Linked DNA regions of Drosophila melanogaster. The protein of the gene in region 1 interacts with the protein of each later gene in a pairwise test. Each region holds a gene or a part of one and is shown on either strand. Other genes may lie near its edges. The genes, in order: CG30122, RunxB, Scsalpha1 and CG11523.

Region 1 (7,938 bases):
TTGCTGAGGTTGTTGGTATTGTTGTGACTGCTGCTGAGTCTGCCAGATGCCCGTTTGTTGATGCTGCGGCGCCTGCTGTTGCTGATGGTGTTGACTGTACGTACTCCACTTGCCGCTAAGGGAGGCCTACAGGAACGATCGAGATCTTAGCCAGCTGTCATGCGTCGAGGATTTGGTCGCACACTTACCTTGCCTCCGCCAGGTGCTCCACCTTGTTGCTTGTACTGATCGTAGCCACCGCCTACAGCGGTGTTATTGCCATACTTGGGTAGCGATTGACCAGCTGACCGCTCATAGCCACCGCGACTATCTTCTTTGGTGTCGCGGTGGCCAGGCCGAAAATCCCGTTGTTGATGAGTACCACCTCCCGAGCGATAGCTACTCTGGCTGCTGCCCCGGTTCCGGTCGTTACTGCCCATTCGACTGCGGTCGTTGCCACGGTCTCGATCGCGATAGTCCCGCGAGCTGCCGTAGCCGCGGTCGTCATACCCACTTCTGCGGTTGTTCTGCATCCAGTTTTGCTGACCACCACCACCACCACCACCACCGCCGCCGCCGCCACCACCACCGCTGCCGCCTGCGTATCCACGGTTGCGATTGTCGTATCCACGACTGCCGCTTCCACCGCCACCATAGCCGCGATCATCGTACCCGCTTCTGCGGCTGTTCTGCACCCAATTTTGCTGGCCACCGCTACCGCTGTTGTAGTTGCGGCGATTGTCGTAGCCACGACTGCCGCCTCCACCACTATTGCTGGAGTAACCGCCACCGCCGCCTCCCCTGCGGGAGTCGCTCCAACGACTTTCGTGCCGCTGGCCGCCATAATCACGACGTCGGTCATCATTGTATCGATTCCGGTTCCGGTCATCACGACGATAGTTGTCGCGACTTCCTCGGGATCTCTTGTCACGCGACCTCTCCGCGTCAATGGCCTTTTTGCCCTTCTCGTTGTACTTCTTGACCTCGCTCTTGGCCTCGTCACCAGTCAGCTCCGTGTAGTTTATATCATCGAACCAGCCAAACTCCAGCGAGGGAAGTGTGAAGTTGGCTGGAAAAAGATTGCGTGTACATCATCAATAAGGCTGCACAATTGCTAAAATCGCTCATTATCATTACAGATTAGGAATTATTGTAGATGGAGTATAGAGGGAAAGAAGGGATCAACTTTGGCAACCGAACGTAAAAGGGCGCAAAAATTTCGATTTTCAAGAAATCCAGTTGTGAATAAAGTCCATCCTTTATACGTTCCAGTTGCCAAGTGGGGGTTGTTATAGAATAAATGTTAATGAATAATGGTAATAATAATAATCAAATTATGAGATATTTTGAAGGGCTTACAGTTACAATTACGTATAGATACATAAAGTGCAGCTGCTTACAAACTAAATACGTTACATAAGTTTTTATAATGTTTTTCATTTTAACAAGAATGCCTCCTTATTTAGATAGGTAGAATAATAAGTTATACGATCGTACATTATTCTGGATTTTTTTTTTCAATTCGTTGCTTTGGTGTGGTGGATAATATTTACCTCGTAAATTATTAATTGTTGATTCTTTAACTGTAAAAGCATTTCCCTTTTCCTCTTTTTCGGCGATGCGACGTTTCAATTCATCTTCGCTGGGTATGCAAACGACCGCAATTCGCTTGAAGTCGTTAAAACCCTTCATTTTACGTCGCTGGGCCGAGGCATACACATTGGTCTACAAGAATACAGTTGGTTGATCGGTTGGTTGGTTGGTGTTGTTTGGTTGAATTGGGTTCAGATTTTGTCTGCCAGTTGTTGTTTGGTTGGATTTGGTTTGGTTGTTGTTGGGACAGTCGTCGAACTTGAGAAACACGTTGATGATACGGCTCGGTTGGAGACCTCGGTCTACCGGGATCGAACCCAACTCGCATTGAGCTCGCTTGCTTTCAGCGCTTATAATCTAACACATACCTGTTGCACGGCGGGACACCCACTTCCCGCCCACACTCCGCCGGCAAGGGAGCGGGGCCTTACGGAAGCGGTGCGCGCACACCAACATAATACCTAGGGGGCGGCGACGGGTTAATGTTAACCCGGCCACATCTAACAACAGTTGACTTAATACTTTGCATAAGGATAACAGAATGTACTATGGGGGAAAAGTAGTCGCGGTTGGCTGTGCTGCTGGCTGTAGGATGAAGCATCGCATAGCTTTCTGTAGATACACATACATATATATGAGAATAGTTGGCATTTAGAGAGAGAGATAGAGTAGAGATAGTAGGTACTAATACGTATATGTGATTAGATTGTAGGCGAACGACTCGTCGATCGGATTTGTGTTTGTCTACTTACAGTGGCATCCATGCCGCTCGCTCCTCCTCCTCCTCCTTCTTCCATACTTTACTTCACTCCATTCCATTACACTCACTCATCTTTCTCCAATGCCATTTCCATATCCATATCCACTTCCATCCCCACTTTTCTTACAATTCCCTCTTAACTGCCCCGTCAACTGTTGCGCCTGCACGTAAAACTTAAGCTAATGGGAAGTCCACAGATACTTACTGCCTCAAACTTAAGCACTCTAATTATCGGATCGACTTACAATTAGGACATACCTGCACGTTGGTGCCCCTTCTAGGGGCACTTGGGCACTCTATTAAGTTAGAGCGATGAGCAAAAAAAAAATGCATACTCAAATGTACAATTAAAAAATATATAGCGCAACATTGCTGTGCCCCGCTGGTGGAACCCCTCAATCCCGAGGGGATCAGAGCCCCAGTGTGTTGGGTGGGCGCCAAAGTCATCATCAACGTATAATTCTCGCTTGTTTCGTTTTGTGTTTGGTTATCGTTCGTTCATAGTGTAATCTTGTGTGTTTGTGGGCTGGTGTTTTGTTTCGGGTGTATGTAGGTCATTTGTTAATGGTTTACCTGATCAAGTATGAAATTTCGACGCCGCTTCATGGCAATATCTTCCAGAGCCGCCAAGCTATTTAAGCATATCTCGTACACCTTGTCCCATCGACCTTTGTGCACAGTCTTGCGAGAGGCGCCATCGATCTGCAAATATATTGGTCAGTACTGAATATCTTCAGCGCCTAGCTATGTACATTTATTAACCAACTTACTGTCATCTTTGAAATGAATGCGTCGGGTCCAATCAACTCGTAACGCTTGTCAGCATTCTCGGCCACATGCTTATGGGCCCAATGGGTCTTTCCGGCTCCTGGCAAGCCAACCAGTAAAATGACTTCGCACTCCTTGCGAGATCCGACGCGTTGTGGACCGGAAACCAGCTTTTCGACAGGTACTAAGCCGATCAATACATAGCCTTCCAGCAGGGCAGCTGTATCCCTTGGCTCGGGCACGACATCCTCGTACTCATCTTCGGTCGTCTGCGACCTGTCCTTTTCCTTTTCGGATTCAGCCTTTTCCGAATCTCCATCGGTTTTGGGTCGCTTGTTCGGCGAGGGGCCATCCTCATCTTCTTCATCATTGTTTTCGGAGGGTTTCTTATCCTCAGATGCCTTTTCATCGTTTGCCTGTTCTGCAGCAGCATCACCATTTGACACAGCTGCAGTTTCTGACGACTTTTCGGTAGAAGTTTCAGCTAAAAGGAAAACCCAAAATATTAGCATTTTGTGGGATAACTGATTTTCAATCAATCATTACTCACCAGTTTCCGAAGCCTCGGTAGCTTCTGATTCGGGCTTAGCAGCTTCAGCAGGAGCCTCGACTTTAGTTTCGGCTTCTGTTTCCGTTTTTGGCGCCGCCTCATCCTCTTTGGCTTTTTCAGGATCTTCGGCTTCCTCTTCATCTTTCTCCGAAGAAGCCTTGCCATCTTCATCCTTTTTCTCCACCTCATCATCATCCGCCGTGGCTTCGTCCAAGACCTTCCACTTCTCGCCATCGTTGTCATCCTTATCGTCGTCCTTATCCTTGTCTTCGTCTTTACGTGGCTTGCGGCGCTTGCGCGTGGGCCTCTCGGCATTCACCAACAGCTGCTCGGTGTCAGAGAAATTCACTAAGTATTCGTAGCCCTTGGTAACGATGTGCGGAAACAGGGCTCCCTCCTCGCCCAGTATGCTCTTCTCAAACTCGAACGCAACTCCAAGATCCTCGCCGTTCAGAGTGTAGTTAATTGTGCACGGCTCACTTTCCAGATCTAAATAGCAGCCGATAACGTCATCCAGCTGGTAAGGCTTGCCGTAATCGGTAAACTCGCTCTGAGTAGCCTTACGCCCGGTCTCGCAATAGCCAAATGAATGCTCGGCCTCGCCTAGCAACAAGGAGCTCTTGGGCATTGAAAATCCCACGCGGAATCCTCGCACATGCGGCTCATCGCGGAAGTAGTGCGAGTTCTCCGGCACCGACTCCTCGGAAAGGCGCACCTCAAAGCACACTTTGCCTTCGCGCACTCCGTAGTTTGCGCGGGCTCCGGACCAAATAAGCGAGTAAATTTCCGATGTCAGGGGTTTGGCCGATGCAAACGTGGTTGGGTCGATGCGTAAATGCAAGTCAGAGTCCACTGGAATATAAAAACAAAGGGATATTAGTTACTGTGAATGATGGATCAAGCTTTGAACGTTAAGGAATGTGTGTATCGAATTCGTTGCAAACAGCAAGTCTACTTACGCCAGCTCAATCCGACTTTGTTCTCCTCGATGGTTGGCTCGTCCTCAGGAACTGTGCGTTCCTCGGCCGCTGCCTTTGACTCACGCTTGTCACCTACGCTGCCGCGATGTTTGGACGAGCGGGAGCCACTGCGCGATCGGGATTTGGACCGACTGTGTGATCGCTTGCGGCGTTCCGGGGGCTGATCCTCAGGCTTAGCTGCTGGCTCGGTCTCCTCCGCCGTTTTCGGGGCGGCCGAATCCTCCTCATCAACGTCCATTTTCTGGCTGTCGCCATTTGACTGATGCTCGGCCACAGTGCTCTCGGCTGGTTTCTCCTCTACAGGCTCCTCAGTTTGTGTAGGTTCCTGCTCCTCAGGGGCAGCATCATGATCCTCTTCCATGGGTTCATCAGCCACTTCATTCTGTGGTACGACGGCGGGTACTGCCTCTTCGATTGTCTCCTGCTTGTCGTCTGTCTCCGACTTTTCATCAAACTCTTCGGGCTCAGGCTGCGACTCCTCATTGACCGCTTGGTTGACGGTTGTGTCCTCTGTCACTGCTGCAGCTGGCTCAGCTTCCTCCGGCTCACTTTGTTCTGGTTCCGGCTCGGCTGCTGGCTGTTCACTTTCTGGTTCTGGCTGTGGCACTGTCTTATCCTCCGGCTGCTCCTCCTCTTCGAGAGTATCGAGCACTGGTTCTGCGGCCACGGGAGCAGCTTGCACCGGCGATGGAGAGCGGGACATAGAGCGCGTGCGACGCTGACGGCGGCTTGGTGTGACCGGCGCATTTTCTGGACGCGGGAAAAGTGAAATGTGATTACTTTATCATTATATAAGGAAAACTTACAACTAACTCACGCTCAGTCGCACACAAACAGAAACCGAAACACAAGCATGACTTGGACGCGGCAAAGCACACGCACACAGTGACACCCACACACATACACACTGGAACAATCGGGCGGTCAAATGACGCATACACACAAACTTACCACCGTCGCCGGCTCCTCCTTCCACATATGCCCTCAGGCGCTCGACGAGCACCGCTTTGACTCCTTTGGTGTCCAGGCCGCGCGACTGGAGCTCGTTGCGCAGGTCCACCACCTTCATCTTCTCCAGCTTCGCCACATCCATTCTTGCGCTTCAATTTGGATTGGCGGCAGAAACACACACGCTTATTCACTCAATGTGCACCGCTGAAAAGCTGGCGATGTGAAAAACTGAATTGGGGGAATTTCGGGCCAAATCACGCTGTCTGGCAAATGACACCCACACTGGAAATGTCACCGTAGTCAAGTCGCAATGGTTGCTAGCACCGTGCGCGCACAATTAAAACGCAATATTCGTTTTTACATTCGCATTTGTTGCGAATAAATAAATGGACCTAAATATTATACCGAACGCGTTGAAGTGAAGTTGGCTGCGATTGGGAAAACGAAAACGTAGAGCTACCGTGCTTGGGTTCGATACTTGTGCTTGGTGGCTATCGATAACAGGCTGAACATCACTAGCGATAGAAGGCGCTTGTGTGCATCAACCGTTTGCATGTGCGCTGCAAGAAAATATTTAATGATTGAATGATTTGTAGTAAATACTATATCAATAAAAATTAATAGGCAAAGTCAATGTTTATTTCAAAACATAATTAATAGTATTAAAACCTGCATAACAAAGTGTTTTTCGTAAATTGACTTTAGGTATAATGGCTGTTTGGCACAGGCATTAACAACGACTCCGTGGCGCAACGGTAGCGCGTCCGACTCCAGATCGGAAGGTTGCGTGTTCAAATCACGTCGGGGTCAAGCAATTGATGTTTTTTTTTCATTATTTTTAGTTTGCAAACTATATAAAATAAATACGAATTTAAGATTTCAAAAAAAAAAAACAGTATACAAAATTTGCATCGGCCGGGAATCGAACCCGGGCCGCCCGCGTGGCAGGCGAGCATTCTACCACTGAACCACCGATGCTTAAATACTAGATGTCTTACCTTCAATATAAGCTTGGATTGCAAATCCATTGGGTCATTTCTATAAATTGCTAAAATAGTTTAAGGTTGATTAATAAAATGTAATGCTGAAATAAAACTAACTTAATACGCAGCGTTGCTAATATACTTATTACGAAAAACTGCATGTTTTTTATATTATACCATTTTCCTAACTTGTTATAACATCCTAACTTCCTAACTTTTGTAACATCGATTGTGGCCATGCCCCTTCAGCAGAACAAGTGCTCATTAACACTCACTTATAATTAAATTTGAAATATATTTTATCGACATGCCATACTCATGTCGCTATAAAATCTATAAGTTAAAGATGCACAATCCAAAATTTCGCAATTGGAGCGTTTAAATTCAGGAATATGTCTTTTTGGTGGATGATACAAAGCCTTTTGATCCTGTGGACAGTGTCAGTGGTAAGAATAAATAAAATAATCAATAAAGAAATTTGTGGCAATAATATATTTATTTTTAATTTTTAGGGATCAAAAAAAAGCAACTATGAAGTCCGCTTTGAGTCGATAGATGCCGTAAAAGGAAGTACCGAAACCCTTTTTCTATACCAGCTACGATTGCTCGGTAGAAACCGCATGATAAATGGAACTCTTATTTTCTTAGAAGACTTGGACGAAACGTTCGACGTCCTTTTCGAATCCCACGCATTTAAAAATGGATATTGGGTCAAGGGAATCGTGAACGCCGCCGCCAGCAAACCCTGCGAATTTTTCAATCGCTACTACATTTCCTTTTTCCTAGTAAAATCGACCGAATCGAATTTACCCACTACCGGTGCTGAAATGTGTCCTTTTCGAAAGGGTACATATTTTGTGAAAAACGGCGTTGTTTCTACCGAAGATTGGCCACCCATTGTCTTTAAAGGTCTTAACAGATTCACCATTTCGTATCTAAAAAATGGCGAATGTGTTGGTGGAGTTCAGTTAACAATTAGTATAGCAGAAATCATCACATAGTCTTAAAAATTTATAATACCACGAAAAAATATATGGCATAAATGAAAACTCAATTATTTCTCTGTGTGTGTGTGTATGTATAGCCAAGCCATTTTTATATATTTTTCTTCTTACATTTTTGATTACAGTTTATAGTTACAGCTAAAATGATTGCATTCGAAATTGTTTCGTTTCGTTTACACGGAATATGCGCATATATATTTAGCTAAGAATCTCTTTTAAATAGTAATAGGTTCTTTAATGGGGTTCACATAAATATTTACATGCACATTTGCACATAGAATTGTAATAATTATTTATCGTTATATATCGCTTTTACGTTCCCAGTTCAGATCCATTTCTAAGGCTCGTCCCAAGCAACCGTCTCCAGCGT
Region 2 (4,740 bases), on another chromosome or scaffold:
TGCGATTTTTCACTCACTCTTCGGGTTTTCTTCGCCGCAAATGGCAGCCACAAGACATTGGCGCTCTCTTTCTCGCACGCAGATGCCATCTCTTTCGCCCTGGCTTACCAATTCCTGGTTTGCCACAAAGCCGCGTCTCCAACGCTTTGCTTTCGCTTGGATTTTTCTTCTTTTTCCCATTTTGAGACGAGATGAGAGCATTTTTTTGAGTCCTTTCCAAGAAAGAAATTCTTTCGGGGGTTGAAGCAGGAAAAATGAAAAAACACTGAAATGCAAAGAAAAGCCTGGGAAAAACTCAAGAAGTTCGCCCATCTCTCTCTCGCCCACTATGCACCTCTCACTTGCGCCATCGCCTCTGGAATTTTTTCCAGAGTGCGCCAAAAAATTGAGCGCAATTTTTCTAAGATGCCCGTGGTGGGTTGCCCTTTCTTCGGGGGGGGTGGTATGTGGGTGGTGGGAGCTGGGTGGCTCGGTTGGTGGTTCTACTCTTCTCTGTCCAACTTGAAGACGTCGTTGCGGCCTTTCTGCTTGTGGTGTAGTTGACGTTTTCTGGTTTCGGTTTTCGGTTTTCGGTTTACTTTGCCCCTTGCCCCGGACCCTCCCGCTGCCGGCGTCGCTGCCGGCTTCGACGTCGACTTCGACTGCGCTGCCAGAGGACAACCGCTGCTACTGGTTCTCGCGGTAAATGTTAAGCCAAAAAGGAGGAGAGGCGGCATCCAAGCATCCAGAACAACAACAACAGCAACAGCTAAAGACGAGGAAAAACTGCAAGAAACAGCACAATCAAACCTCAATAAATGGAACGCCTTGTTTCACCGTGCACTACAATAACGATATTTTTTTTACCATGGTTCAATATATTTAAAATTTACAAGATAGCACTAAAAAGATCTCGAGAGAAGGCTCGACCAGACCAAAGAGATATGATGATATGATATCAAAGTTTTTGGTTCGCCGAGCCGGATGTTGCATGAAAAAAATTGTGCACTTCCTTGCAATTTTACCATTCAAATAATATTAAATTCATGTATAAAGTTAAAAAGGTATTAGTGGTGTTATATGAGCCTTCTTGCGGAGTCCTGACTGTATATACCCCCAGCAGTTGAGCAAGAAGTCGACATAGACGTTCCCCTGGGGGGCGGGAGTGCTTTTCGAGTGCTTGGGAGGTGAGGTGGTCCTGTTTCTTTTCGCCTGTGATTATGATGAGGCGTCGCCTGCGCTTCCTCGTCCTTAGCGTCCTTAGCGTCCTTAGCGTCCTTCGCGTCTTTCGCGTCCTCCGGCAACTTCGTGAGCTCGCTGCGTGAGACTTCGTTACTGTTGGATGCTGTGCACTAGCTCTATTCCAAATCGGTGGCCCTCAGCCGGCATCGCGGTCGCGGTCGACGTCGCTGCCGACGTCGGTGGTCGGCGTTGCCAACCGCTCGTAGTGGTCGCGTTCATGGTTACCGCAAAAAAATAGTTTAATATCTCCGTGTCGTTTGATTCGATCGCCAGTCTCAGCCCCCGTCGATGTGTCCATGTGGCTGTTCCACTAAGCCCCATCATTTGTGTCTGTGCCAGTGCGTCAGTGTGTGCGTTATCGTGCGTGCTTGTGTGTGTGCCGGTGGCTGATACAAAAAAAAAAAAAATTACAAAAAATTCAAGTAATTAGAAATCTCGAAATCGAAAGAGTCTGGCCGAAATTCAATAATTTTTTTGTAGTGCTTGTGGTGCCGACGTATTGAAAATATCTGTACAAAATAAAATTGTTTTTAAGTCCAACTAACACATGGTGTTTGGAGAATATAAATAATTGTTAAAACTGAGTTAACGTAAGTGTGTGATATCCATGATCGTCCATAAAACACAGCTATAGAAATTACAACGAATTTTGTTTTGTTTCACACACAATTTTGTCAAGTATTAAATAAAGTTGTTACATCCCGTAAACTATCGATCTATCTGTTGATCATTGCATTAAATCTATAATTAAATGTTATGCCTTATTTACCGTTTTATTAACATTTCCCAATATCGTAAGGATAAATTAATTTTGTATAATGAAATACTAATCAATCGAAGCAAACTTAAGAGCAACTAATTTTACCATTTAAAATCTAAACTTTATTTAGTGTAAGAAATGCAGCCCAAGAGCGTTAATTGCCACGTCAATTGTTTTGATTTTCTAAGCATTTTGGCATAAGTGCATCTTTTTCTAAATCTTTTTTTTAAATTTGTTGGTCTAATTGTGGCTAGCCCCGCCACCGAGTTGTTTTTTAACCGATTATATAGACCACGCCCCCTTCCGCTCATCTGTGGCCACATGGGCCGCCACATAGTCGCTTGGCCAGCTCATTTGGCGGGACATCTGCATTCGGCAGTTGGTAAAAAAAATGCATATAATCATACATATGGGTTCACACGTACACACATGTATTCATTTCGGAGCGGAAGTTGTAAAAAACGCGTATACGCAGCGTGTGCACATATGTACATACATGTACAGATATATATCTTTAGGTTCGATTGTGTTTGTGCAGCACTTGCTACTCTACATTACAAATCAGGAAGAAAATTGCAAGGGTTCTAATAGGCCGAAGCTCTGGATGCGCTATATCCTCTTTGGAAAAATGAATTAATAGCTCATAAATAATTTTGTTACCCACTCTCATTTATTATCTTGTCTTATCATAATCATTTTAATTATTTTATTAAAAACAGTTAAAATATTAATTTTTGCCCATTTTACGAATTTACTTTGGAAATAGTAAGTCTTCGCTGATAAGCCTATAGTAATGAAGGCTTAATGATTGCCATAAGTTCATAGGCCTTTATCTTAAGCACATTTATCAAAATATGTATTCTGAAACTAACGAACCCAGTAATGGGTTATTTAATTTTTAATTCGGAATTTTTCAAAATTATTTCGCATAACTTAGAGACCTGGCCAGAACGTAGTGAAAAGTATCGTGAAAATAGTTGGTGGAAAAAAAAAATCCGGCATCGTGAAAACAAAACGCGGCTGTGTCCGGCAACTGGTTTTTATTTAAACAAAAGCGACTGGCTGGCCAAACACAAACCGGCAACATCTGGCGCTTTCGATAATTTTCCCCCCTGGCTTTTTGCCATTTTTATTCGCCATTTGATGGACATAAAATGGAATTTTCACACCGACCCACACTCGCAGTCGTACATCTTAGTTTGGGCACTGCCTACGGGTCGAAATTCCTCATTATTGGTTATGATTTTTTAATATTTAATTGAGCTGCACTCGCCGACGACGGCTTAAATGCAAATTGTGCGCAAAGGTGTGCGGTTCGCTGCGATTGCATTCGATTCGATTCAATTCGATTCATTTCGAATCGATTCGATTCAATTCGGCTGCTTCTGTTTTCTGTTTGGTTTCCAGATAGCGATACTATACAGCAACAGTTTCTGATTCTGATTCCGAATCTGGATGTGCCTTTGTGTCCCCGACCTCCCGAGGTCAAAGTGCAATAATAATTGAGCTGTTGTCGCTGACGGCAATAAACAAAAAGTGCAGCATACTTATGCGGGCTGCAAACTGAAAAACAAAGAAGCAGTGGCAACAAAAGCATCGCAGCTCGTACAAAAAGATATTATCTATGTGTGTGTGTGTGTGTGTTCCAAAAAACGCTTTTGAAATAAATTACAGTGCAGTGCATTGGTGCAAACTAGTTAATGTATTTTGTTGTACTCTTGTTTTAGGAGTTTTTGCATGCAATTTTATTACATTTAATTTTTAAGTTTTTTATTTGATTTATTTTAAATGGATTTTGCTTATTTTTTACATTATATTCCATTTATCAATCGATTATCCAGAGAAATTGCTTTGGGGAACAACGTACAGACACAGACACACAAAAAATCCGCTGGCAGTCCGAAATCTCACTCGCAGTCCACATTAATTTTCCAGATTGACCAAATGAGCTGACAATGATCGGATTGAAAGCGTCGACTCTTTGAGGCAGGCATTGAAATCAAACCGAAAACCCACGAAACCCGCCGGCAACTGAATCCACTGAATCCACTGAGTACTGGCAACCAAAGAGGGGCCCTGAAATACCTTGTGCCCAGCTAGCAGCTGCAATAATGCACATTTCTGCTGAGGTCAGTTCGACCACCTCAAATCAAATACAGCAACAGCAGCAGCAACATCAGCAGCAGCAGCAACATCAGTTGTTGCAGCACCAGCAACAACAGACAGCAACAACGACCACAACGAAGCGGCGGAATGCTGAGTCCTCTGCCAGCAGCAATAACAACAACAACAACAATACCAGCACCACCAACAATAATAATACTAACAATAACAACAACAGCACCACGAACAACAACAACAACAACAATAATAATAATGTTAAAACAAAGCCCGTGGACACGAGTCCCTACTTAACCCCCGAGAATCTCATCGAGCGCACCGTCGACGTCCTGCTCGCCGAACATCCTGGCGAGCTGGTCAAGACGGGATCTCCACATGTGGTGCGTACTCATATCTCATAACTGCAAAGATTTTAACTTTCAGCAAACTAAAAAAAAAAAAAAACCAATTGAGTGTCAACAAATAAACGCTCTATATATTTCTATATATTTCTATAGCAGTGTTGTTGAGAATGCATTTTTTATAAGAAAATAACTCTTTTTGGACAAGACCAAATCTTTTTTTTCGCGCAAAACTAATGATTTGCGTTGAGAGGAATTGTCAAATTGCTTCGTTAAAATATATATAAATGGTAAAAG
Region 3 (6,626 bases), on another chromosome or scaffold:
TTGCTTTTCCTTTGGTTGCTCTCCCTTTTGATTATCTGCGATTTTCACACTTTTCCGGGGTGGCGAACAATATGCGAATCGGCACTATAGCTTCTGACGTTTTTCGCGGTGTTTTCCAAGTTTGTTTAGGCCTTTGTGGCACGCATTTTCAATCGCGGCCCTAAAACATATATATGTTTATTAGAGCTGGCACAAAAAGCGATGGCAGTTCGATATTAATGTTGCCAGATATTTCACGAGTTAATCGAAACTTCCGCTCTATCGATGTGTGCTCTTGATGTTTGCAAGTCGATCCCATTAAATATCGAAAGTAGAAAACTACATTTTTTTAAATTTCCTTAAATCTTTTTTTAATATGGTAAGCATTGCTTTTCATAAATTATTGTTTTGTTAATTCTTCTCCAAAGAATTTTAGTTTAGATTAAATAAATTGACCTGAAAATTCATATTTTCAAAGGATATGGCTTGTATAGCTAAAACCACGAAAATTCACCACATCTATCCTGTTTTTATGCATATTTATTACACATTCAGATACAATTCGCATTGATAATTCGAGCAGGCATTTAAAATTAAGGCAAAAATCTGTTCGCAACACAAACAATGAGCCGAGTGCAATAACAATTAGAAATCTTGGTTTTGGTGCGAGTTATTTTAGTTCAACTTGGTGGTACGGCAGTAGTTAACTTAATTCTTGGAATACATGTCACAATTCAACGCCTCTCGTTTCTCTCTAGTAATTTTTCACAATAATTTATTTGGGTTCGCTCGAATGCAATTTCGATTTTCGACACTTTTAGCTTAACGTTAGGTTCATCATCATGAGTTTGCGTATACGCTTTGATCGGCGTACGGATTCCGGTTTGGTTATGGCCTTTAATTATTTACACTAACTCCAGACGCTTCATCTCCTTGAAGAGCTCGTGGCCCATTTTGGCAGGACTCCTGGTCACAATGACGCCGGCCTTCTCCAGGGCGGCGATCTTGTCGTTGGCACCTCCCTTTCCTCCGGAAATGATGGCTCCAGCGTGACCCATGCGACGGCCGGGTGGCGCCGACACTCCGGCAATGAACGAGACGACAGGCTTGGCCTTGATGCCCTGCAATAGGATACAAAAACATTTAGCAATGAAATACATTGATCCGTGATGGCTTCTCATACCGAATTGTACTCGGTCAGGTAGTCGGCAGCCTTCTCCTCGGCAACGCCTCCGATCTCGCCGATCAGGATGATGCCCTTGGTCTCGGGATCCTTGAGGAAGACCTCCAGGCAGTCGATGAAGTCGGTTCCGTTGAACGGATCGCCTCCAATGCCCACGCACAGGGTCTGGCCCAGACCCACCTCCGTGGTCTGGTGCACGGCCTCGTAGGTCAAGGTTCCCGAGCGCGAGACCACGCCGATCTTGCCGCGCTTGTGAATGTGACCCGGCATGATGCCGATCTTGCACTGCAATCAGAAAAAACATAGTTTAAGATTATACAATTGACTTAACTGAAAGTGGAGTGAAGTGGGTAATCACTAAGTTTTGTGACGCATAGAAAGATAAGCGTTATAAATGGTAATAAAAAACGTATCGTCCGCAAATTCCACCAACTTCAGGTGCAAAGTTCAATGCCCAAATTTAAGGGTGTGTCAATGGAGGCCTGTTTATACATTAACAATAAGCAAATTGAAAACGGAATAGTAAACAGATATATGTAGTTCAAAGCGAGCGTCATACCAAGAGATAAGAAAACCACCAGATGAACGTGGACTTTGCCCTCTGGCCAAGCTTATCTCTCAAGCGCTGGAGATGTACGAACCTGTTCGGGGGCGATGATTCCCGGGCAGTTGGGACCCACCAATCGCGACTTGCTCTGGCTGATGAGGGCGTGCTTCACCTTCACCATGTCGTGCTGCGGCACACCCTCCGTAATGCAAACGATCAGGGGGATCTCCGCTTCCAGAGCCTCGATGATGGCGGCCGCAGCGCCCGGTGGTGGCACATAGATGACGGTGGCATGTGGATCGGTGGCCTTCTTGGCCTCCGCCACCGAAGCGAAGACGGGCAGTCCCAGATGCTGGGTGCCTCCCTTCTTGGGGGAAATGCCGCCGACCAACTTGGTGCCGTACTCCAGAGCCTGTTGGCTGTGGAACGTGCCCTGTTTGCCGGTGAATCCCTGGCAGATCACCCGCGAATCGCCGTTCAGCTTCAAGTTGCCGCGCGTCTTGTTGTACTGCGAATTGCAGCGCACTCCGGCCACGAAGCCATCTGAAAAATGTAAGAATGAATCATTTTAGGACTAAAGTTGGAAATTTAGTATTTTGGATATTAATAAACCAGCCTGCAAGTGTAAACTTACATAGTTACATGATAATTTCATTTGCGTAACGTTCGAGAAAGGTTTATTATTTATTAAATTCCTATATTTCTTGCCCATTTTCCAAGTACACATAATTGATTTTCTAGATCGAATGGAATATGTTCCAGAACTCATGCCATATATAGATCTATTTAAGTTGAGTATTTTCTTTAAGAATATCAGTCGCTTTGCAAGATGAAAGCTATCATCGTTTTTATTCTGTGTGAGTTTTTTTGGAGCTTATGTTGCTAACCGAAATTGTTTTACTTTTACATCCCCTTTAGTCATTTCAAGTGTGCATGCTATGAGCAAATGCAACCAAGCAATTTATCTAAATCTTGATCCTCACTGCGGAATACTTCCCGATTGTAACTTAGATGGTCCAAATCCAAGTTACCTCAAAAGGGTGTCGTGTGAACGCAAAGAAAACGGAAAACCAGGTGGGTAATTGTTGACACCTTTTGTGTTTCAGAAAACTTAATCGATTCGTTTAGGATTCATCGAACTAATTCCCGGAAAATGTCTCCATGGTAAACCGCGTTGCTCGTTAAAATAGTAATATTGTTCCAATATTTCCATGCATATATGTTTCAATTAAAGGCATTATAAATACCTATATTCTATAATTCTTCTGAGAAGCATTTTAAAGCATTAAATTATATGTAAACTACTCAATCTGCGTGCGATTATGAAAGCTTTGAGCTTCTTATTATTTCTGAGTGAGTTTCTACGCAAGAAACTGCGAGTAAATACATACGTTCTGAACTATTCAACCACTGCAGTTATGAATATATTCGAGACTGCGAATGGAAAGAGTGTCTGTGAAGGATTTATAAAAGCTGGAAGTCCATTCTGCGCGTTTGCCGCTACCTGTAACTTCCAAGGCTTGAGTCTTTTGCACGTTGGACAAGAGCAGTGCAAACTGACTGAACTGGGAAAGCCTCGTAGGTTCAATTCAATTATCGTATTCAGTTCGCCTAACCTTATTTACATGTCCAGTATTTCTGAAAATCAAGGCCGGAAGGTGTCCCCGGGGTAAACCCAGATGCAGGAAAACTAGATAAGGAAAATAACTTTTTTATATTATAAGGCATTTTATATCCTTGATCACTTTCAATAAAGATTTAACTCTTCATTTTTACCATTTTAAAAATCTATGTAATCTAAAGTTTAGAAACACCGCCTTTTGTGGCCTTGACATTTGTTAAGAAATTCCACACCTGTTGCTTTAATCGCCTTAAATACGACATGTTTCGGTAATTAGCAGCTAATCTTTGTAAAACCCTGCAACACTTGCGAAACATTCAATCTCAATCTCACCATGAAGATTTTCGGATATATCCTTATACTCAGTGAGTTACCTAAGATTTAATGGGAATATACCTATAAACATGGTATGGTTTCATCCCTGTGACAGTTGTAACAATGATAGAAGTCAATGGTGTCCTAACTGTTGAAGAATGCCAAAAGTTCTTGAACCCCCCAATTCAGCTACGGTGAAAGCAGATCCATGGTGCGGAATAACAGCGGATTGCCACTATACCTTCCTTACTGCCAGCTTCCTGAAGACCGAAGTCTGCTTTCGTAAAGTAAATGGTTTGCCAGGTAGGTCTGACCAGTTTGACTTTTAGAACGATACTAAGTTTATCCATGCTTTCAGAACTCAAAAAAGTAATTCATGCCAAATGCCCTAAGGGCAAATATTCATAAATATAGATCGGAGCTTGGAAAAAATATCCCAAACTAAATTAGAATTAAATAACTTTTTGACGAAGGCAAATGCTTGCAGCAATTATTTGTTTGAACTATTAAATTAAAAGTATACACGTATATCCACTACGAGAAAAGTTAAAAAGTGATGGTCACCAAAGCGGTGTTCCACTGTACTTGTTGCCGAAAAAAAACGGTTGTTTGTACGCTGGGTCACATGCAAGCGAACCTTGAACACAACCCCCGCACTCCCCCTCTTTAATCATTTCAAAGCCACGTATCTGCGGATTCGCAAATTGAGCCGCTTATTAATCCGAATGGAGGCCGACTAATCAGCAGATGCGTCGGAACGACAGGTGCTCCCTAATTGCTTGGATATTTGTTCTTTTGGTGCCGTAAATCCATTGAAGTTATATAATTTATTATGCTGTTAGGCTATCGGGCGTGTTAGGCAACCGATGTGGAGAATACGCACCTCGCACTTTCAGCAGCGCCCTCATTGAAGCAGCCATATTATCTGTGTGTGGTGGTTGTGCGATAAAAACAGCTTTACTCAATTAAAACGCGTTTAATTAATGCAGTGCGAAATCGGCCGAATAGTGCTGAGTTAACCACTGCGATAGTATCGATAGAGCGACTGCAAAGGCTTACGACACACCATCGATATTTTAGCTGCGATAAGTTACAATCGGGGTATTCCACAAATCGATTAGAAAGTTGAACAGTTACATTTCAAACAGCTGTTCTATGAAAATGTAATTAGCTAAATATTTTAAAAAGATAATTAAAAAAAAAAAAATAAGAAACGTCGAAAATTAATGTTTAAACCACCAATAAGATATACAAAATATGTAAATCTCAAATAAATCTTTATCTACTCCACTGAACCTTTATTTCGAGATCTTAAAGAAAGGACAGATCAAGTGTGTTGTATCGACTACGTAAAATACATTGCCTCTAGCGTCTAAATACTCAGATGGCTTACACATTAGCAACTAGCACAGAGTACACAACATGCGCCTACGAATATCAACTACGTTTCTGTTTTCTGTTCTCTTCGGGCGACAACGTTTTAAAAACTTTTGCTAAGGCCAAAAATGGATACAAAATATAGGTTTGTATCTATTAGTTAATCTCAAATGTGTCATTGCTTCTTGCTTTTGAACGGAGGGCGTCGGTGGTGGGTTCTCTTATTTTCTCTATTATCTAATTGAACAGATTCTCGTTCTCGTTGGCCAGGACGAGATCCTCCAGCGGCGGATGATCGTGGACATCCGGCTCGTGCTGTCCTGAATCCGGCCCGCGATTAAATGCATTCTCCTCGCCCTTCTTCAAGCGCTGGTAGACCAAAATGGAACGACCTGTGCGCGATTGGCGATTCTGCAAGAGAGAAGCAAGATTAGGTGACTGGGCACCCAGTGCCTCCGACCACTGGTCCACCAGAGCCTGCGAGCCCTCCAGCCGTGTTACCTCTGCGTGCTCGATGCGATGGAGCAGCCGGTAGTTACGGAGGAACACGCTTATGTTCTCGGCCAGCGGATCGAACAGAACCACATGTGTGGGCAAAGCGGTGAGCGGATGCATAGGAATGTGCGAGTTAATCCAGTGCACGGGATCCTCAAAGAAGCGATCGGCCTCGTCCTTATACTGCTCCTTCTTTTCCAGGTTCGGTTCGCAAGTCAAAAACCTCATGGTGACATTCTGGTGAATGTGACTAACAAGAAAGCAAAAAGCAAAATTAAAACATTGAAGAATAGTGAAGTCCAAAACTTCTTACCTATAGTATGGTGTGGAGTGGCAAGGCATTAGGAAGAGAATATTCGCCTGGTGTTCGCGTTCATCTCTGTATTCCCGAGCTATTTCTCTCAACTTGGGCATCAGTTCAATGGGTCCCTTCTGATGCACTGTGCTCAGATACCAGGCGGGCATAACATTGCCCACGAGAATGACCAAAGCGGTGGTCCACAACATTGTGCTCGAGGCTCTGATGCTCCAACGCGATAGGGCATCTGTGATAACGTACAAGCAGAGCGGCAGGAGCGGGGAAACAAATCGAAACTCCTTGTGCTCCACAGCACTCAGAACAACCAGAGTCAGGAAGATGGTGATCAGAAGCTGCTTGCTAACAGGGTACTTCTCCGACTTCTTCACAGTTTCCATCACGCCAAAGATGAAGGGCAAGGTGTTGATGCCCAGGACTGTGGGCAAGCCCACGCTGAAGTACCAGTGCCAAGGGTGTGAGCCATAGAAGCTGCCGATGTTGTTAAATATGTTGTACTTGAGGAACTCGTACGGAGTCACTATCAACTGGCCATGCCAATAGGTATCGATGGCTATTCCCAGACCAGCAACGAGTAAACTACAAGTTAAAGTTGGATTATTATAAAACTGTCAATGTTTTAGATTTCTTATCTTACCCAATGAGCACAAATCGCTTCAGGATCAGCTCCAGCACGTTCTGGCGACTTCTGCGCAGATGATACAAGGATAATGGGAGCCAAATAACAGCAGCCGTAGGTCTCAGGAAGCAGCAGATGGCAGCTGGCCACAGGTAAGCAGTGGATTCGCCATAC
Region 4 (3,128 bases), on another chromosome or scaffold:
GACATTACGGGGCTGCCGTTTAGTAAGTTCTCAAATTTTGAAACAATAACCGTCGTTAAACCATTTTCCAAATAATTTACTTCCTTATCCTCAGTGATAAATGTGACGCTGCCCGATGACAAGACCAATTACGTTCATCGCATCGGACGTGTGGGCAGGGCGGAACGCATGGGGTTGGCCATTAGTTTGGTGGCAACAGTGCCGGAGAAGGTTTGGTACCACGGCGAGTGGTGCAAGTCGCGCGGCCGTAGCTGCAACAACACAAACTTAACCGAAGTCCGAGGATGCTGCATCTGGTACAACGAACCAAACCTACTGGCCGAAGTTGAGGACCACTTGAACATCACCATCCAGCAGGTGGACAAGACCATGGATGTGCCAGTTAATGACTTCGACGGCAAGGTCGTGTACGGTCAAAAGAATTTAAGAACTGGCAGCGGCTACGAAGACCACGTCGAGCAGCTGGTGCCAACTGTACGCAAACTGACGGAGCTAGAGTTGCAATCACAATCTTTATTCTTGAAACGTCTTAAGGTCTAACGCGGATCTGGAGCGACATTTGTTTGCTATGCAAGGAAAGGATGTGGTGAATTGAGAAGTGCAAGACCAACTCACGCGGAAATACTTTTGCGGCACAAACACACAATTTTGTATATGTAGGAAGTCGGAGCTCAAGCTCTGCTATTAAAAATAAACATTTAATTAAACTAACATTAAAATCGTCTGTCTAAAGAGTAAACAGCCTCGTTTGAAAGCTGGAGTCCGGTTACCGTCACTTCTTCTCCTCCTCCTCCGCCTCCTCCTCCTCCTCCTCGTCCTCCTCGTTGAACTCGGTTCGCATCTGTTGCAGCGCTCTAAGCTGCTGGCACAGCTGGTTGCCGAACGACTCGACGTAGCGGGGGCTGATCTTGTCCAGCAGCGCGTACGGCGTTTCAAATATCTCCTCCTCCTCGTCGTCGCCTTGCTCTTGTCCGTTGCGAAGCAGTGCAGAGATCCGGCTGTCCTCGTCTATGGTGTCGTACTGGGAGGAGACGATCTTGAAGCCACGACTGCTCACCTGAACGCAGCAAGTGGCGCTCTCGATAGTCCGGATGTTCAGGTAAATTTGCGTGGCATCGCTTGCCAGTTTGGATGAGATGCAAATCTCAGCGACGTGAGCCTTAACATCGTTAATTATGGCGTTGGCTTCGTCCTCGCAGTTGAAGGCCTGCTCCTCCCCAGGGTCTGCGGTGGCTTTCGGTTCGCCCATCCTAACAGAATCGCTTCGGAGCTCTGCGGCTCGCCTTTTAATTGAATCCCAGTCGATCTGATTCCCTTTTACAGGCGCAACATGTCGTTCCACTCTACTCCATATGTGTCACAGCAGCTGTGTGGCGTGTGCCACGCGTTAGTACATTTTGACCGATGAAGCGGAGCAGGGCGTTCCGGCCAAACTGAATATAATCGTTATTAATGATTTTACATGCAATTTAGCTTAGTTTTTGGTTTAATAGAAGTTCGTAAGACGTACCGATATAAAACGGTTGCTGTCGTATCGAAAGTATAAATTACTCCTAAATAATTGAAATTGGAATGGAGGGGTGCATAGTATAGATTATGGATTAAGTCCAAAATTTGTATATAGCCTCTTTTTTACATTCTTTTTACAAAACTGTAAATAATTTTAATTTAATTAAATAATTTAAAAAAAAACGAAATAGACAATTTTTTTTATTTTATTATTAGTTCTTAATATATGCTTCCCTTATTTAACTTTGTAATTGTATAATTAAAAAACTTAATTTAATTTTTAAATAAAAAAATATTAATAAAAAAATATTCTGCGAAATGGGTTGCATCAAAAAAAAAAAAACACGTGCACGACCTTTTCCTTGGGTGTTCCCTTTCACCCTTCATTTCTTAGACAATCTCGCTTCCGCCCATACAAATTTTATGCATACAGAAAATGACCTGCGGCCGATCGTTGCTTGTGAGTCGCTCACCAGAAAAGGTTATTGCGCTCGTAATAAAAAACTGTCGGATATTTTTTATTCCCGCAAGTAGAGTGTCAAAAAACACCCGGCTGCCTAGATACAACAGTGTTTAGCGGGTGCACTTGGAGTGCCAGTGGCTTGCTGCAGTTCTCTGGTGCACACTTTCGATGCGATTTCTTACAGTGAGTCCCGTAACAGCAGCTATTAATGTTGCGATAGATGGCGTGTTAGTCCAGAGCTGGAAATCATTGATGTCGGCAGGTAAACCGATAAGATAGAACATCGGTTCAGTTCCATCTCTAATTTCGTTGCGAAAAAAATAAGAATCGAGGCATCGGTACGGACGTCAAAAACTGCAATTATAAGAGTACACGCACAGATTGTGGTTCTTGGCAGGCACAGACTTTCACTGCGTGTGACAGCGATCGCTAGTGCAAGTTACCCGTTCGCAGTCAAAGTGACACAGGCATCAGGATGAGCGCACCTGGCATGGACAAGAGAAAACTGTCGTAAGTATTTTGTAGTGCTCCTTCATTTTTCCTCCACGGCGCACACACACGCGCCGTCGGCAGAGTACACACACTCAGCCCGTGCGCGAGTGTGAGTAGCAGCTGCGCGCAGGCAGCGCGGTCGGCGCGAAATTGATTTTTCGCGGCAGAAGTTTTCTCGAGCCAGCAGGCACTTTCCTTTCCACGTCGGGATAAACAAGGAACCGGGTCAGGGGTAATAATGGGCTCCGGTAGTGGGAAGGGGAGGGCAGCTGCGGCTGGAGTTTGATTTCGGACAAGCGAATTCGTCCTGGGCAAGGCCAAGGACAAATTTGGCCATTTGACGGAATTCGATTTTTATTTGATTTCAATAATCGTTAGTTAAAATCTTAGTGGCATAGTTTCAACTTATGTTGCATTAGGCAGGAAAATGTAAAAGGTAGAAAAAAGGCTACGCACATCATCGATCAAGACTCGAGCCGATATCATTCAGATATGTGCTATGTAATACATACAGACCATTATTAGAATTACACATTATAACTACACAGTATGAGAATTTCCTCTTCCTTTCTCCTCTTCCTCTTGCATTCTTCTCGGTTGGCCACACCTCTTTTGCCCGCAAATCGCACGATTTCAATTGTTTAATAGAGAAAAAATGAGTCGA

Evidence for each region.
Region 2: the proteins of CG30122 (region 1) and RunxB interact in a two-hybrid assay, tested with the Drosophila melanogaster proteins (one large-scale study listed by BioGRID).
Region 3: the proteins of CG30122 (region 1) and Scsalpha1 interact in a two-hybrid assay, tested with the Drosophila melanogaster proteins (one large-scale study listed by BioGRID).
Region 4: the proteins of CG30122 (region 1) and CG11523 interact in a two-hybrid assay, tested with the Drosophila melanogaster proteins (one large-scale study listed by BioGRID).

Annotation. Positions count from the first base shown.
Region 1 is NT_033778.4:18,633,238-18,641,175, forward strand, and holds the start of CG30122 (uncharacterized protein), read right to left. Parts: upstream 6,034-7,938; 5' UTR 5,724-6,033; coding exon 5,582-5,723; intron 5,381-5,581; coding exon 4,610-5,380; intron 4,503-4,609; coding exon 3,651-4,502; intron 3,585-3,650; coding exon 3,103-3,584; intron 3,035-3,102; coding exon 2,906-3,034; intron 1,705-2,905; coding exon 1,533-1,704; intron 1,049-1,532; coding exon 189-1,048; intron 127-188; coding exon 1-126. Other genes in the region: CheA56a (chemosensory protein A 56a), read left to right, coding at 6,957-7,010, 7,077-7,565.
Region 2 is NC_004354.4:20,536,789-20,541,528, forward strand, and holds the start of RunxB (runt related B), read left to right. Parts: upstream 1-1,708; 5' UTR 1,709-1,811; intron 1,812-3,916; 5' UTR 3,917-4,092; coding exon 4,093-4,482; intron 4,483-4,740.
Region 3 is NT_037436.4:3,812,258-3,818,883, reverse strand, and holds Scsalpha1 (Succinyl-coenzyme A synthetase alpha subunit 1), read right to left. Parts: upstream 4,674-6,626; 5' UTR 4,566-4,673; coding exon 4,529-4,565; intron 4,187-4,528; exon of another isoform or gene 4,004-4,186; intron 3,949-4,003; exon of another isoform or gene 3,761-3,948; intron 3,696-3,760; exon of another isoform or gene 3,644-3,695; intron 3,443-3,643; exon of another isoform or gene 3,343-3,442; intron 3,288-3,342; exon of another isoform or gene 3,126-3,287; intron 3,046-3,125; exon of another isoform or gene 2,900-3,045; coding exon of another isoform or gene 2,838-2,899; intron 2,784-2,837; coding exon of another isoform or gene 2,628-2,783; intron 2,567-2,627; coding exon of another isoform or gene 2,539-2,566; exon of another isoform or gene 2,530-2,538; intron 2,253-2,529; coding exon 1,804-2,252; intron 1,448-1,803; coding exon 1,163-1,447; intron 1,101-1,162; coding exon 885-1,100; 3' UTR 501-884; downstream 1-500. Other genes in the region: Acp63F (accessory gland protein 63F), read left to right, coding at 2,539-2,566, 2,628-2,783, 2,838-2,899; PIG-B (phosphatidylinositol glycan anchor biosynthesis class B), read right to left, coding at 5,260-5,767, 5,831-6,412, 6,471-6,626.
Region 4 is NT_037436.4:22,265,306-22,268,433, forward strand, and holds CG11523 (uncharacterized protein), read right to left. Parts: upstream 1,375-3,128; 5' UTR 1,250-1,374; coding exon 773-1,249; 3' UTR 541-772; downstream 1-540. Other genes in the region: Ddx1 (Dead-box-1), read left to right, coding at 1-22, 95-540; Csp (cysteine string protein), read left to right, coding at 2,448-2,482.